Rattus norvegicus: one gene and its partners. The protein of the gene in region 1 purifies or fractionates together with the protein of each later gene. This does not show direct contact. Links are inferred from orthologs where the notes say so. Each region holds a gene or a part of one and is shown in the gene's direction. Other genes may lie near its edges.

Evidence for each region.
Region 2: the proteins of Polr3b (region 1) and Polr1c purify together in Homo sapiens (affinity purification with mass spectrometry; 7 studies listed by BioGRID and IntAct, counting the BioPlex papers as one, with this or other methods). This does not show direct contact. The link is inferred for Rattus norvegicus from reciprocal best matches to the Homo sapiens genes POLR3B and POLR1C.
Region 3: the proteins of Polr3b (region 1) and Polr2e purify together in Homo sapiens (affinity purification with mass spectrometry; 7 studies listed by BioGRID and IntAct, counting the BioPlex papers as one, with this or other methods). This does not show direct contact. The link is inferred for Rattus norvegicus from reciprocal best matches to the Homo sapiens genes POLR3B and POLR2E.
Region 4: the proteins of Polr3b (region 1) and Crcp purify together in Homo sapiens (affinity purification with mass spectrometry; 5 studies listed by BioGRID and IntAct, with this or other methods). This does not show direct contact. The link is inferred for Rattus norvegicus from reciprocal best matches to the Homo sapiens genes POLR3B and CRCP.

What each region holds. Positions count from the first base shown.
Region 1 is NC_086025.1:21,027,326-21,031,326, reverse strand, and holds the start of Polr3b (DNA-directed RNA polymerase III subunit RPC2), read left to right. Parts: upstream 1-1,193; coding exon 1,194-1,265; intron 1,266-4,001. UniProt on the Homo sapiens protein: Catalytic core component of RNA polymerase III (Pol III), a DNA-dependent RNA polymerase which synthesizes small non-coding RNAs using the four ribonucleoside triphosphates as substrates.
Region 2 is NC_086027.1:22,232,061-22,236,120, forward strand, and holds the start of Polr1c (DNA-directed RNA polymerases I and III subunit RPAC1), read left to right. Parts: upstream 1-1,257; 5' UTR 1,258-1,313; coding exon 1,314-1,382; intron 1,383-1,476; coding exon 1,477-1,548; intron 1,549-3,259; coding exon 3,260-3,367; intron 3,368-3,592; coding exon 3,593-3,725; intron 3,726-4,060. Other genes in the region: protein YIPF3, read right to left, coding at 1-58, 199-396, 932-1,012. UniProt on the Homo sapiens protein: DNA-dependent RNA polymerase catalyzes the transcription of DNA into RNA using the four ribonucleoside triphosphates as substrates.
Region 3 is NC_086025.1:10,316,084-10,320,160, forward strand, and holds the start of Polr2e (DNA-directed RNA polymerases I, II, and III subunit RPABC1), read left to right. Parts: upstream 1-1,274; 5' UTR 1,275-1,350; coding exon 1,351-1,407; exon of another isoform or gene 1,408-1,487; coding exon of another isoform or gene 1,488-1,520; intron 1,521-2,330; coding exon 2,331-2,505; intron 2,506-3,458; coding exon 3,459-3,655; intron 3,656-3,918; coding exon 3,919-3,977; intron 3,978-4,077. UniProt on the Homo sapiens protein: DNA-dependent RNA polymerase catalyzes the transcription of DNA into RNA using the four ribonucleoside triphosphates as substrates.
Region 4 is NC_086030.1:32,292,965-32,297,196, reverse strand, and holds the start of Crcp (DNA-directed RNA polymerase III subunit RPC9), read left to right. Parts: upstream 1-1,429; 5' UTR 1,430-1,443; coding exon 1,444-1,451; intron 1,452-4,232. UniProt on the Homo sapiens protein: DNA-dependent RNA polymerase catalyzes the transcription of DNA into RNA using the four ribonucleoside triphosphates as substrates.

The sequences.
Region 1 (4,001 bases):
AAACTGAAACGATCAGTAAACAACTTTGGGCATCTTTTACCCCTTCTTCCCATGGGATTTTTCTTCCCGCTGAACGTGCCTGAACTCATTTCAAATTTCAGTGGCAAACCCCCTTGTCTTCTACCAAACATACACAAAGATGTGCATGTTTACTATTCATAGAGATTTTAAGTGTATTCTAAAAATTTTTTAAAAACAATTAGTGCAATGATGAAACTTTAAAACTCTATTAGTAATCCTTAGGCTTTGTTTCCATCCTTGAATTCCACCACAAGCCATTATTAATACATTATCTTTTCTTTGGAGACAGGGTTTCATGTAGCTCAGGATAGCCTCAAACTTGCTAGGTAGCCAAAAATGCCCTTGACTTTCTGGATTCCCTACTACCTCTAGCTTCTAAAAGGTAGGTTATAGGTGTGTGCTACCATGGGGGGTTTATGTGCAACCCCTGGTTTATTTGTTGTAGTGGGGAACAAACCTGTGCACAGTACAAACTCCCTCCCGCTGACATTTTCTCCTACTGTTATCCTATATAGAAATATCTGACATAGGATTTAGATGTATCTTTTTCTCCCAAACCGTTAATTAACTCTTCTAATATAATTTATTGGGTTTTTCCTACCCATTTAATTTTGCGAGGGTAATTTACTCCAAGATCACACATCTGGGAATTTAAGTAGCACTTTTTTGTTATACTTTATTGACACTAGAACATTTCTTCCCAACCTATTACGGTCATCCTATGAGATTTGATTGTTGTCCATTACACGCAGGTACTGTTGTACTGCACAACATACGTACAGTTTAAATTGAGTTAAATCTCTGCTTTAGAGGTTCACGTTGTGGTCAATGTGTATTACCGAGTCATTTTTTGGATTAGTTATACAGTTAGAACTACTATATTTTTGCCGTATCTAATCATTCTGGGGATACTGGATATAAACCTGTCTGTTGGGAGTCTAGGCGAGACCTCGGAAGTACACCAGTGGGTGCAGTTTTCCACATCCGGCTCGGTCACTTCCGGGTTCCTCCGCAGGTTAGGCCCGGACCAGGCGGAACCTTTTGAAGCGCCTCCCGTAAACAAGCGCAGCGGGGACACTGGAGGACTACGCACACCACTCTCCGCGTGCTGTTTGAATGGAGCCGCACGGGCGGATGTGAACATTCTGCCTTCTTCCTTTACCGTGGGTGGAATGGACGTGCTAGCTGAGGAGTTCGGGAGCCTGACTCCGGAGGAGCTGGCTGCGCCGATCCCGACTGTGGAGGTAAGCGCCGCGAGCGCACGCAGCGGAAGAGGCTGGAGGCGACTGAGGAGGGGTTGCCGGGAGAGTTTTTTGAGAGGACGAGGGCGGGACACTAGACTTCTGCGCATGCCCAGGACTTCTGCACATGCTCAGAGCTCCCGGTGTGTGAGCCTTTACAAGGTCTGAATCTAGCATGTTGGTAGCCGCATGAACAGAGGGTCGCTTAGTAGCGTCTTCCGTTTAGAAGCTCAGCCAGTGGCTCTCGGATGAAGCATTTCTAGTTCAAGTATGCTCTGGCAAGAATTGGCCCTTGTGTGTTCTCTGAGGAACAAGTATCTTTTTGCCGATCTCACCTGAAAGGACACCGAGATCCTGAGAGCTTAGGCAATGTTCTTGAGGTCACATAGCTGGCTTTGGTGGTTAAAGTGAATGTGAATCTCACGCTGGTCATCATTTTCGTTTAAATCCAGAGTTTCTTTGGACTGCAGGCTTAGTTTAAGTATCATGAATATCCCCTCAGCCCCCATTTTTGACCTTGTATTTTCTGAGGGGCCCCTATAGCTTTCATCAGATTCTTAAGCGATAATTGCTCCACGCTGAACTGTCTGATGAAGTGCAGTGGCTGACATGATTTTGTTTCCTGAGAAGGTATATAAATTCTTTCTGGACCTTGACATCTTTGGCACAGAATATATCTAGGACTGAAAATGGTCGAGGAAGAAATTCAGGCAGAGGGACAGACTGTACACGACCCTCAGCCACACTGTCGGATGTTTCAGAGGAGGTGCTGGGGGAGGAGGGCAGTAAAGAGAAGTTCCGGATTCTGAAATTAACTCTCAGAAGGTGTTAAGACTTTCTCCCTGGGAATAGTAAAACACCATTGAAGGGTTTAAATGGGAACGACCGTCGTGAATGATAAAAACTTCCTTAGGGCCCTGAGGTGGCTCAGGGATTGAGGACTACTAGTTGCTCTAACAGAGCACCCGGGTTTGATTCCTTCTGTCACAGTTCAACAGGGTGTGGGGAACCATGACTAATCCCAACATTTGGTCTGTGGAAGTAGGAGAATCACAACCTCACTGTCTCAGAGGGAGTTTGAAGCATGAGTTCCAAGAGTCTCTTATTGAAAATATACAGTATTTCTCTTTGTGTTTGGCTTATTTCACAGTGTTTCCCCACTCCCACTCAACAGGACCTGCAGTCCACACAGCAAAGGATAGTTAAGCATGTAGCCCAGTACAAAACTATAGACTTACTCAAAACATGAGTGCTATTTCATTTTCCTTTTAATATTCTTTGGTATGACTCTCAAGTGAGAATTTTGCAGATCACAGTGTCGTATTACAGTGTTCATGTAAGGAACCCTCCTCACATTCGCCCTGAATTTCAGCATCAGTTGGGACTCCATGTCTTCCAAATGGGACACTACAGTGCTTTCTGATCCTTGTCTTTGTGTTCCTCACCCCTAACTCAGCATTTGAGCCACAGTGCACTGGCTCATTGGAACCTGCTGTCACCACATTTACTACCTTAAGCTTCCTCAGTGTACCTACCCTCCTCTCCTCACCATGTCTAATCCGTAGAAGGCATAGACATCCTCAGTGTTTTCAACCCTGCCAGCTCCTTCAACCCTGTTGCTTGTGCACAATGGCTCCCTTTATTTGGAATGCCTCCCTCATTCCCTCACCATGCTCAGGCATAGCAGTCTATCTAGCATCTATACTGATCCACCTCACTATGGCTTTGGAAGCCAGGAGACACGTCTGTCTGCTTGTTTAAGTAGTAAGACGAATTAGTATTTGCTCAACTTTTCAATGAATAATAACCAGCCCCAAAGCTTGAGTAACTTTTCCCGCCATGGTATAATATGAAGGAAAATATATTAGAAATTATTGATTCAAATGAAACAGAGCTCCGGCCTAGAAAGTGTAGAGAATGCAGGTTGGGAGTTTGAATAGTAAATAGGCTAAAAGGAAATGACATTTGTTTACTGCTCTAGTAACTACTGTTCAGATTACTGATCATTGGCTCAACAATGAGATTCTAGTTTACTTCACAAGAATAAATGAGAATAAGCTTTATGAACAAGTACTGTGTCAATTTTCCGAGTCTCCAGTGTCATTCTAGGACCTTCTTTGGTGAAGGCAGGACCTGAGGACCCCACTTCAGAGCATAAGACGTGGGGATGGGGCTAGCGATGTTAGAAACACGAAGGTCTATGGCAGACACTGTGGTAGGAGGGAGTCAGTGCCTTCCTAAGGAAGTCAGGACTGATGTACAACATTTAATCTACAAGTTAAAGCTGAAACGAGAAGAAAACCCACCAAAGGCAGGATGAGCATACAAGAGGAAAAAACAACAATAATATAACCAAAACCAAACAGAGCGAGTACAGTAAGCAATGGTGGGAAAGAGGTGGAGAAGTAAGCACTGGCCAGACTTGGTAAACTACCACTGTTGATGACTTTAGATTTTATCCTATGTCTCAGTGTCCTGTGAAGAAGAGACACTGTGACCAAGGCAACTCTTATAATAGAAAGCTTTTAATTGGGGGCTCACCAGCAGTCTCAGGGGTTAGTCCATTATCATTGTATCAGGGATGGTATGCATGGTGCTGGAGAAGTAGCTGAGAGCTTTATAGCCTGATCTTTATGCAGGCAGGGGGTGGGGGAAGAGAGAGACAGAGACACACAGACACAGACACAGGGCCAGGCATGGGCTTTTGAAACTTCAGAGCCCATCAACAGTGACATATTT
Region 2 (4,060 bases), on another chromosome or scaffold:
CGATATTGGCATACAAACTGAAGGCCTTTGAAGCTTGTCTCTTCCCTGCCTGCCACATCTGAAAGGAGATGGGTATTATGAAAAACTCCTGGCTCTAGACGGTTACCCGGCCTCCGCTTGATTTCTGTGTATGTAGGTCTAAGTGGAAAAAGTGTATCAACCTAGGACACACACAGGTCTTCCTTTCCATTGGCTTACCTGATCTGCTACCTGCCGGCTCAGTTGTCCCTTAAAGCCTTTCATGCCGAGAAACTCCCCGTCCTCTTCTTCTGCAGCAGCTGCATCAGCATCTACCTCTTCCTCACGCAGGCGCTGATGTAGTTCACCCATGTCCTCGAAGCTGGAGCCTGAGGTATCGTCCATGTTCTCCATATCAATCACAGCCGAGCCCCCACCCTGTGAAGACAATGGCTCCTAGTGTGAGGGGCCCTTCCGTTGCATCCTTTGGTTCTCCCCTCATCTGACAGTTTGAGGCTTTGCTCTTCCACTGACGAGGATATGGCTTGGAACTGCTACCCACTGTGTTATACATAACCTTTCACTGCTGGCAACTCTTGGTGGCGACACTTGTAGTTCGCCCTCCCCCCCCCGCCCCTCCCAAAGCTCCAAAGAGTTGCAAAGAAGCCCATCTGCCTTTCCCAACTCTCAAACAAGCCTATTTTAGGAAGTGCCGAAATTCTATCCTGTAGTCCCATACTATGCCTGATCCAGGCAGATCCCCCAACCCGTCTGCAAAGCCCCGGGCAGGTACAGAGACTCGAACCTTAATCTAGCCCTTTCACGCCAGCACAAGCTCTACACACTTTCGCGTGGAAGACTGAAAGAGGACAGGCAGTGTGGCAATAGAGCCGACTTCCACGCCGCGAGAAAAAATAGCAACCACACTCGGCCGCCAGCCCGGGGAGTTGCTGGCAGCAAGAGCTCTCAATACCTGGATGTTTTCTTCGAAGCCTCCCCATTCCGGGCCAGCACCATTTCGGACGCCGCTGGCCGGCGCCGCCTGAGTCGCCATGTCCCTCGAGGCTTCCCGTCGCTGAAGCTAGCGCTCGTGGGAATAGTGTGAGACCTGGGCCCGAGGGAAGGAAAGGTTCAGAGGAGCGACTAGGCGAGGTAGGACCAGCCGGAACGCAAAAGTGAGAAACCCGGATGTTTGGCCCCAATTGACGTCCGGAAGTGAAGGACGTGGACAGAGGCGGGACAAGATATCGCGACAGTGAAGATTGCCGGAGACGGAACGTTGCCGCGGAGACGGAGGCGGGCCGCTAGCACGCACGCGCTAACTTGGAGCCTCCTCTCACGGCTGATGGTGGAAGATGGCGGCTGCTCAGGCGGTGGAGGAAATGCGGACTCGCGTGGTTCTGGGAGAGTTTGGGGTTCGCAATGTAAGAGATCGGACCGCGGGAGTGATGGGGGAGGCACGGGAGAGAGGAGGCCTGGTGTATGGCCTGGCCTCACTGCCCTTTCTGTTGGCTCTAGGTCCACACCACTGACTTTCCCGGTAACTACTCCGGTTATGATGATGCCTGGGACCAGGACCGGTTCGAGAAGGTGGGTAGGGCTGGAAGTGTCCAGACGGTTTGAGGGGCCAGACCTCACAGGTTGGGTTGGGGATCTCTGTTTTCATGAAACATGAAAACATGTTTCCCGATCCATGGACGGGCCGTCAGACACCGCTCCTGTTTGTGGAATAAATTGTTTGCTCTCGGTGGGGTAATGGGCCACAAACAAGTTATTTCAGTATAATAAAATAGCGATGAAGATGGCTGGGATGGGGTAGGAATCATTGATGCACTTAATCCAGCCAATTGAAGGGACGTAGTTAGGGAGTGACATTTGAATTAAGCTTTGAACTATGAATAAAAGTTGAGCGGTGAAGGCCTAATTCGAGTTTCATTATAAACGCTTGTATAAGGTTTGCTCTTAGTCAGCTGCAGCAGCTCATTTTTGTCAGAATGTAAGTCCACCAGCATGAGCAGTAGATAAGATTGGAATGCATTTTAGACTCTGTAGGTGATAGATTTTTATTTTTATGTCTTTTTGAAACAGGGTTCCATGGCTGCCCTGGCACCCCCTCTGTAGACCAGGCCGGACTCAAACTCAGATTGGTCCACCTGCCTCTGCCTCCCGTGCACAGGATTAAAGGCATGAGCCACCATGCCCCGTTAGAATTTTTCAGTAGACTGATAAAATTTTGCAGTCTTGATAGCTGGGAAGGAATGAATCTGGCGAATCTGCCAGCTAGTGTATGGAGGCTGAAATTGGGGGCATGGATGAACTGCAGATGGTGGTAATGGAGTGAGAGTAGTAACTAGCTGATGCAGACCATTGCTGTGGTGAGGGCAGTGTGAGAAAGGACCTTGTGGCTTGAGGAACGGATAACCTTTTCTTGGTATGTATGTTTGCCTGCATGTGTATTTGTGCACCACTGCTCCCAGCAGTGTGAGGAGGTCCCACTGGGTGCTGGGAACCAAATCCATTCTTCTGCAAGAGCAGTAAGTGCTCTTAACTGCCGAGTGGTTTCTCCAGCCACACTGGGGAACTGTGTTGCTGGCTGTGTCATTTGCTAAGCGGGAGGACCAGGGCGATGGCACAGTTGTTTGCGAAGTCTACCGGTCGAGTGGTGATGCTTGAAGTCAGACCAAGGTCAGGAGCTGCTATGCCCTTGCTTGAGTCAGCAGCATGAAGGTCACCCAGGGGATTTAGAACCTGGGAGAAAGTAACGTTTACTGGGTGGAAGAGAAAATTTAGATAAGGAAAAGTAGATATTAAAAAATGCAAGTATCAAATGGTTTAAATAGGTGGGAAGTTCTGCTTTTTGTACAGTAGCTTTGCTGGGTGGTCTGTGGACTATCTGAGAAGCCAGGCATAGTGGCACACACCTTTAATCCCAGCACTCAAGAAGCAGAGGCAGGGGGTTGGGGATTTAGCTCAGTGGTAGAGCACTTGCCTAGCAAGCGCAAGGCCCTGGGTTCGGTCCCCAGCTCCGAAAAAAAAGAAAAAAGAAGAAAGAAAAAAAGAAGCAGAGGCAGGTGGATCTTTGAGTTTGAGGCCAGCCTAGTCTACAGAGTGAGTTCTAGGACAGCCAGGGCTACAGAAAAACCCTGTCTTGAAAAACATAAACAAGGAACAGTACACTGCCCTCCCAGTGGGACTAGAGACAAAATGTCTACTGATGATCTTGGGGGATAGTGCCAGGGTAGACTGGGTTCACACAAGAGGAACAGGTTTCCCACCCACTGGGCTTTCTCTACCCCTCTAGAACTTCCGTGTGGACGTGGTGCATATGGACGAGAGCACACTGGAGTTCGACATGGTGGGGATTGATGCTGCCATTGCCAATGCCTTCCGGAGGATTCTGTTAGCTGAGGTATTAGAAGTCGCGGGCTGGAGTGTGGAAACTGTCACCCCATCTGTAGACTACCGGGCGGGTGGGGCGGTTTACACCTATAATATGAACACTTCAGAGGGCAGTCCGAACTACACAGTAAACCTTGTATCAAATCTGAAGGGCAAAACTAAGAAGGGCTGCCCCTCGTTTTTCCAGGTAGGGGATGGGTGGAGGTCAGGTAGATCATTTTGCTTCCTTGGGCAGGTGCCAACAATGGCTGTGGAAAAGGTTTTGGTGTATAACAACACATCCATCGTCCAGGATGAGATCCTTGCTCACCGCCTGGGGCTTATCCCCATTCTTGCTGATCCACGTCTCTTTGAATATCGGAACCCAGGTAAGGCTGAGAGGTTGAGATTATGAGTTAGGCAGAACTGTCCTGGAATCTGTCATGGGCTCAGATCCCAGGCCTAATTAACTGTGATCTTAGTTGGCTCTTGTACATGGGCCTTCGCCTGTGAGAACGTTCTCTTGCCCCTGCCTTTAATCCCTCACTCTTAGCACAGTGCCAGCAGCGCTCAGAGGCTCTTTCCACCTTTACATGGTTTCTAGGGATTGAAGTTGGGTCTGTAGGTTTAAGCAAGCATGCACCCTCTGAGGCTTCTTGTCAGCCCGTTACTAGAGCTAGTAGGGCCAGGCAGGCATGGTGGTGTACATCTTTACTCCCAAGAC
Region 3 (4,077 bases), about 11 Mb from region 1:
CTCCAGAGTGGTGCTAGAATCAAATGCCTCTCTCTCTCTCTCTCTCTCTCTCTCTCTCTCTATATATATATATATATATATATATATATATATATATATATATATATATATATATATATATATACATATACACTGTCACTGTCTTTGGACACACCAGAAGAGGGCATCGGATCTCTTTACAGATGGTTGTGAGCCACCATGTGGTTGCTGGGAATTGAACTCAGGACCTCTGGAAGAGCAGTCAGTGCTCTTAACCACTTAGCCATCTCTCCAGCCCCTCAAACTCTCTCATTCCCCATGCCCACATCCCCTTACTTTGCACCCACAGCTCTTAGCCAACTGTAGCAACCACAGCCCCTCAGCCCTGGTCTACAGGGCATATGGTGGGTTCAGTGATCGGTGCCCTTGGCCAAAACTTGTCTTTCCAAGTCAGGATCAGCCTAAGTTTCCATACCAGAACCGGTCATGATCTGTAGACCTCAGTCAGACTCACATCAGGACAGAATGGAGGGTACAGTCCGCATCTAGATTTCCAACGACAGCCCTTGCCAGTTGCGATGGTACAAGCTTTCAATCCCAGCACTGCGGAGGCAGAGGCAGGGCATGCTCTGCGCTGTTGAGACCTGGTTTACATTCTAACTTTCAAGGCAGCACGAGTAGCCCACCACATACACACTTGTTTGTCGATTGTCTATATGCCTATATGTCCATTTTTTCCTTCTAGTTTTTAGGATTTTAATCATGTGTGTGGGTCTGCATGTGGGTTTAGACATACCCAGAGGCCAGAGGCCCCAGATCCTCTGGAGCTGGAGTTACAGATGGCTGGGGGCGCTGGAATCCGATTTCTCATACAAAGTGCAAATATATTAATAAAAACTTATATAAAAAGGGAAACTGAGGCACATGAACCTGGCTTTTCATCATCGGGCTCCCCCTTTCTTTCTTTCCTTTTCTTTTTCGAGACAGGATGTCCCTGGCTATAGACCAGGCTCGCCTCAAACTCATCGACTGCTTGCCTCGGTCCGGGATTAAAGGCGTGAACTACAGCCAAGTTTTCTTTTGCAAACGCCTAGTGGGAAAATACTAAGGCAGGTCAAGTATCGCGCGATCTTCCCGTGTGCGATCTCGCGCAGACACCGCCGCGGTAAATGCTGGGATTGCCCACCGCTCAACCTATCCTGGAAAGTTGGTGTATTCCGGCGATCACCTAAACCAAACCTGGGCGGGGCCTTCTCCGCATTCCGCGCAGGCGCACTGTGCTGGGGGCGTGCACTTTATGCTGTCCCGCGCAGGCTCAGTCCTGGTAGGTCTACGAGCGCGCGTGCAGAGTTGTTTGTGAAGTGCGACAACATGGACGACGAGGAGGAAACGTATCGGCTGTGGAAGATCCGCAAGACTATCATGCAGGCGAGTTGCATGGGGAGGTTTTGAGCGAGCGCTGAGCTGTGGACTAACTGCGGTTGTCTGTCCGCTCAGCCCAGCCTCCAATGGGGGCTAATCCTCTTGCTTCAGCCTCCCAGGTAATAGGATGCATCCCCTCTTAAAGTGTGGAGTCCACCCACCTCAGTTGTTGGCAATCCTCCTGCTTCAGCCTCCTCCCCCTGCCCCAGAGGAAAAGTCCTAGCTGGACTCTCTGCTTCGGAAACGGGATACATGGCTGCTACACGGTCACACCTGGTTTACGGGGTGTTGGGAACGAATGGTTTCCTCAGTACTAGGGAGCCTCACCATCGACACCCACATGGTAGTTCACAACCATCTGTAACCCCAGTTCCAGGGCATCTGTGGCCCTTTTCTGGTCTCTTGGACACACGTAGGATTAAAAGAAGCTATTTAAAAAAATAAAACAAGCCGGCATGACGGCGCACGCCTTTAATCCCAGCACTCTGGAGTTAGAAAGAGGCGGATCTCTGAGTTAGAGGTCAGCCTGGTCTACATGGTAATTTCCCGGATAGACAGGGTCACATTCACGCAGAGAAACCCTGTCTGGAAAGAAAAGGGAAAAAAGGAAGACATTTTGGTTGTTCGAGTTGAGTAGATAAGACCCCAGTGGAGAAAGAGGTATTAATAGTTTTAATTTATGCTGTGTTGGGTGGAGCCCAGGACCTGATCTAGGCCTCCTCAGGCCTGTTCTCAGCCCTCATTAGGAGGGTCCAAGACAGGAAGGTTGCCAGGTCATTGACCCCAGCCTTCTCTGGTGAGGCTGGAGGGAAGGGAGGAGGCTTGGCTGGGGCCTCTGTAGTCTCAGCCTATGCAGAATTTGGGTACTGCGGGTCAGTCAGTGTTAGTCCCCAGCTGTCCTCTAGCTGAGTACTCTTCTCTCTCTACAGCTGTGTCATGACCGAGGCTACCTGGTGACCCAGGATGAGCTGGACCAGACACTTGAAGAGTTCAAGGCACAGTTTGGGGACAAGCCCAGCGAAGGACGGCCGAGGCGCACAGACCTCACCGTGCTGGTGGCCCACAACGATGATCCCACAGACCAGATGTTTGTCTTCTTCCCAGGTGAGGGTCCTTGGGCTGGCAGTAGTGGCATCCTCTGGGGGCCTCCAGTTCTGGTGGCAGCTGCCTGCTTTGTCCCTGTCTTCCCCTGGGAAGCTTCCATTTCACCGGTGTCCTTTTTGCCCCTGAGTCCGCAGACCAGTGCTCAGTCCCCCTGCTCCTGTTGCTGTAGTCTACAGTTGCTGTCTGAGGCCCAGGCGGCTCTCGGAGGTTTGTGGTGCTCTGCAGCTCCTCCAGTCTCCGCAGGCAGCTTGTTTCCTTTAATACCTGATGTTGATGCCTGGGGCCTGGGGTTTTAGTGTGAGAATTGGGGGTGCAGGGATGGGCATGGTAGCATGTGTTTATAAATCCAGGAGGCGGAGGCAGGCAGCCGAGGCCAGCCTGGGCTACACAGTGACTTCTAGGACAGCCAGAACTATGTAAGGCAGTGGCTGTCAGCCTTCCCGACAATGGGACTCTCCATGTTGTGGTGACCTACAGCCATAAAATTTTCATTGCTGCTTCCTAACTAATTTTGCCACTGTTATCATAATGTAAAAAGGTGTGTAGAGTCTGGATAAGGTCCGATAATTTGCAGACTAGGTGACTAGGTGACCTGGACCTGCTCTTGTGCTCTGCGTCCTAATGCTCCAGTAAACCCCACTCTGCCTGAGGAGAGAAGGCTTAGCCCCATGTTAGACACAGGGTCCACCTCCTGGTCAGACAGTTTCTCCTTGAGGCTGCCCAAGCTGACAATACCATATTCCACAAATCTCAGAGCTGCTGAGAATTTCACCCCCTGGATCAGGAGGGGCGGACAGTGCAGCTTTCTTCCGCCATGGCTGCCCCGTGATAGCCCCACCGCGGCTGGCTTTGCGTTCTGGTCTTCCTTTGTGAGTGGAGAAGCTAAGTCCACAGGCAGCAGGACATCAGGGACTCTAGTGGTGGGTGTGAGGGTCACACTTGTGTGCCTGCAGAGGAGCCCAAGGTGGGCATCAAGACCATCAAGGTGTACTGCCAGCGCATGCAGGAGGAGAACATCACACGGGCGCTGATCGTGGTGCAGCAGGGCATGACACCCTCCGCCAAGCAGTCCCTGGTAGACATGGCCCCTAAGTACGTGCTAGAACAGTTTCTACAGCAGGAGCTGCTCATCAATATCACAGAACATGAGGTGCGTGTGTCCCAGGGAAGGTCTGGGTGGCATGGCGTGGTCTGGACAGGATACGGGAGGGCCCTGGATCTTCCCAGTCTCAGGCCGTGCCATTCATAAGCTGGGCAGGGTCGTTCCCCAGTTTTAGTGCAGTGGCCTTGAGCATCCAACTTGGTGATATTAGTAGCCTGGTTGTGTCCTCTGTCCCAGCCCTGTGGCAGTACCCATTAGCCTGTTGAGTCTGTCGGTTTCTGATGGCCGCGGGTGGGTCTCTGTTTCCACAGCTAGTCCCTGAGCACGTGGTCATGACCAAGGAGGAGGTGACGGAACTGCTGGCGCGATAGTATCCTTTTTTTTTTTTTTTTTTTTTTACGTGTGAGGCTATATGCCCATATGCACAAAGTAGCCTCTTTTTTTTTTTTTTTTTTAAGATTTATTTTATT
Region 4 (4,232 bases), on another chromosome or scaffold:
GGTAGTTGAAGACATTCACTGGCTATCAACCAGGTTGAGCTCACTGCGCAGGTGCCTAGGTGGAGGCCATTTGAACACGGGTACCAGCCGATTTCCCTGCTTGCATTCCTTCCTCTCTGAATCATTTTGTGGTGGGGCTCTCCAAGGCAGTAGCCTGTCTTCTATGAGTCTATCTCTGAAGCCTTGGCTTTGAACGACCCTCTTTCCACACACCTCAAACACTCCTGGCTTTGGGACGCCTCTTTGTCCATGTTAGTCATTCTCCTGTCTATGCTAGAGTCTAAACAGAGTGTGTCATAGTGATTTATGCCCTGCACTGGTCCCCTTACTGGGTTCTCAGCTAGCATGGAGAGTGTGTATTATTCATGTCTGAATCACCAGTGCCTGAGGGGGGAGGCAATCATTGTAAGATGGTTGACCGACTAACACCATGAACACCATTGTGGGACACACACACACACACACACACACACACACACACACACACACTGGTTTTTATGAGACAGGGTTCTCATGTAGCCTCAGGTGGCCTCAAACTCCCCATGTAGCTGAAGAGGATTATGAAAAACTGACTTTCTCGCCTCCATCTCCAAAGTGGAGGGATTACAGGTATGTGTCATCATACCAGACACCACCCCCCACTTACCAAAAAACAAAACAAAACAAAACTCAAACACAATCACCCGCAAACCATTTTAACATGGCTGAGCAGTGGGGGCTCACACCTTTAATCTCAGCACTGGGAGGCAGAGGCAGGCAGATCTCTGAGTTTGAAAGGCTAAGTAATGAAAATCTGTCTTCCCCATCCCAAATTTTAACGGTTGTATGGGGAAAAGGATCTCTACGTAGTCTAAATTGACTAGAACTCACCATGTTGCCCAGACTGTCTTCAAACTCAAGGCATTCCCCCTGCCTCAGCCTCCTAAGTGCTTAAACTATCTCTCCAGCTCTGTCTCTGTCTTTTGAGACTGGGTTTCTCTGCCTCCCTCTTTCCCCCTTGCTGGAATTAGAGGATTGTGCGACCATACCTGGCTTCTGTTTTTTGTTTTTTTAAACACAAGGTCTCAAACAGCTTCGGATGGCTTGAAAGTAATTAGGTAGGTCAGGCTGGCCAGAAACTCATGACAATTCTCCTGTCTCGGCCTCTCTAGTGCTAGGATTACAGGTGTGGGGCTGCATGCCTGGTTTAGGGATTTTTAACGTGGCCAAGGCAAACCCTAACAAAACCTACACTATGAAAACACCCGACAAGCTGAAATTAGACCAAGGTAGGAACACCTAGAATTAAGGAGGATCCGGGCGAGCCCTGCAGCGATCCCGGCATGCACCACGGCGGTCCCAGAGTGCCTTGCGGCACACACACAGAAACGGTGAGCAGAGCAGAGCTGGCGTAACGTGAGGTTCTTCTCTTCCAGCGGTTGTGTACGACGAGGCAGAGGCAACATGGAAGTGTAAGCGACACGTCCAGGGGAAAGCAGAATCAGCTGGGGACTGTGAGGCGGCTGGCGGCTAGACCTCCGGACCCGCGAGCAGGGCGGGTGGGCGGGGTGCACGGACCGGAAGTGCATGGAGGTGGGGCGGCAGGGGAGGGACCCTGCTGGTGTTGGAACCCGCTCTCCTCCGGTATCTTTTGGGGAGGGGAATGTTGGAAGGATAGAGAGGGGTTTTATTTTTTCTCTTTCTTCTGGTTCTGGGAATGAAACCCAAGACCTTGCACGTGCTCTGGAAGTAGTGTGACCCTGAGATGCGTGCCAGTCACAATCATCTTGTGATGTGGGCTCTGCATGTGCTCGGGGAAACACTCTACCACTGAGTCAGATCCCCAGCCATCAGCACCGCCATCATTGTTTTGTAATGGTGGAAATGGTACCCAGGACTTTGCTAGGCAAAGCCTTTGCCACTGACCTGCATCGCCATCCGTTATCGCCGTGTTCTTTTGGAAATTGGTACCCAGGGTCGTGAAAGTACTGGCTGTGCTAGTTTTCTTTCAGTTACTGTGACAAACACCATGACCAAAAGTAATCTAGGGGTAGAAAGGGTTTATTACATCTTAAACTTCCAGGACACAGTTCATTATGGAGGGAAGTCAGGGCAAGAACTCAGACAGGAAACTGAAGCTTCAGACCAGTTCAAGAACTCTCTCTGGTTTACTCTCTGTGTTTTCTAACTTCTTTATGAAGCAGTCCATGGATGGTGGCACCTGCCGCGGTCTGTATAACCCCTCATCCCTTTTATTTTTTATTTCTATTTATTTGGGGGGGGGTGTTGGGGCTTGCGTAGTCGTGGCTTTCCTGGAACTAGCTCTGTCGATCAGGCTATCCTTCAACTCCCAGAGATAGGCCTGCCTCTCCCTCCCAAGTGCTGGGATTAAAGGCCTGTGCCACCATCAGTTGGCCAGGCGGTACCCTCCTGCATCATTTAATAATCGGGACAGTCCCTCGTGGACACGCCCATAGAACAACTTGGTAAAAGACAGTTTATCATTGAGGCTTCTTTAGAGGATTCTAGGCTGTTTCAAGTTGACAGTTAAGATTAACCAGGAAAGCAGGCAAGGTTTTCTCCCCCTCCCCCCAGACAAAGTTTCACTGTAGAGCACTGGCTGTCCTGGAACAAGCTCTTTAGACCAGGCTGGCCTTGAACTCAGATATCCACCTGCCTCTGTCCTCGGAGGCATGGACTAAAGGCATGTAATACTCCTACCTGGCAACTAGGCAAATTCCTGAGATATTTCTCCAGCTGTTGTTGGGATAGCCTCTTCTTCTTTCTCTTCCTCCTCATTTGGTGGTGTTGGGAACGGTACCCACGGTCTTTTTTTTTTTCCTTTAAAGATTTATTTATTTATGGGGTTGGGGATTTAGCTCAGTGGTAGAGCGCTTGCTAGACAAGAAAAGAAAAAAAAAGATATATTTATTTATTATATACAAATACACTGTAGCTGTCTTCAGACACACCAGAAGAGGGCATCAGATCTCATTACAGATGGTTGTGAGCCCCCATGTGGTAGCTGGGAACTGAACTCATGACCTCTGGAAGAACAGTCAGTGGTTTTTTGTTTTTTGTGTCCTGTCCCCCCCCCCCCCCCAGCTGAGAACCGAACCCAGGGCCTTGCGCTTGCTAGGCAAGCGCTCTACCACTGAGCTAAATCCCCAAGCCATAGTCAGTGCTCTTAACCACTAAGCCATCTCTCCAGCTCCAGTACCCACGGTCTTGCACATGCTTAACACACACCTTCCACAACATTATTATCACTATTATTATTATTACTACTATTATTATTAGGTGGTGCTAGGGATAGAACTTAGGGATGCTAGACAGGTACTTTACCACTAAGCCACACACACCCCATTATCATATCGTGGTGTTTGGGATGGAAGGGACCTGAGCATGCTAGACAGTCACTCTACCAACAACAAAGCCACCCTAACAGTTTATTTTTCCATAAAGAAAATATTTCTTGATGGGCAAATGAAGTTTTTGAATATACTCCACCTGCGGACTTTATATGTACACAGTTGACATACCTAAATTGTGTTGTTATTCATGTTTCTTTGTCTTCTGCTCAATTGTTATATAGATACTATAGTTGGTCAGACTTTTTTTTTTTGGAGACAGAGTCATAAGTAGCCCAGGCTGGCTTTGAACTTGGCTATGTAGCTGAGGATGATGGAATTCTGATGCCCTGTCTTCACCTCAAGCCACATTAGATTAGCCATTCGGTCTCTGAGATGGGGGTCTCTGACTGGGTAGCTCAGGCTCAGTCTGGTTAAGCTTTCTCCATCTCTGGGTAGCTGGTGTCAGAAACCGTGGAAAGTGTCAGCTCTCTAACACGCCCCGGCTCTCCTACATCTTGCTGCTTGGTGTCCTTTTCTCCTTCCTCCTCCTCCTTTGCTGTCTAAATGTTGAACGCCTTAGTGCTTCATCTTGGGACACTTCCTTTGCACTTCCTTTGCATGTATTCTCAGTCACTACTCATTTTTATGATGGCGGTTCCTCAAAAACATTTCTGACCTTTTTTTGTCAGGTTGCTTACATTAAAATGTATCTTGTTTTCCTTTCCAGTCATTAGACAGTCTGTTACCTACTTTTTCCTTTTTTCCTACGGTAGGGTCTCATGTTATCCAGGGTTAGCCTTGAACTTGATATGTACTCAGGAGGACCTTAAGCTTTTCTCATCCTCCTGCCTCTACTCTCCCAGTGCTGTTCCTATTGGTATATGATACCTTGCCCTGTTT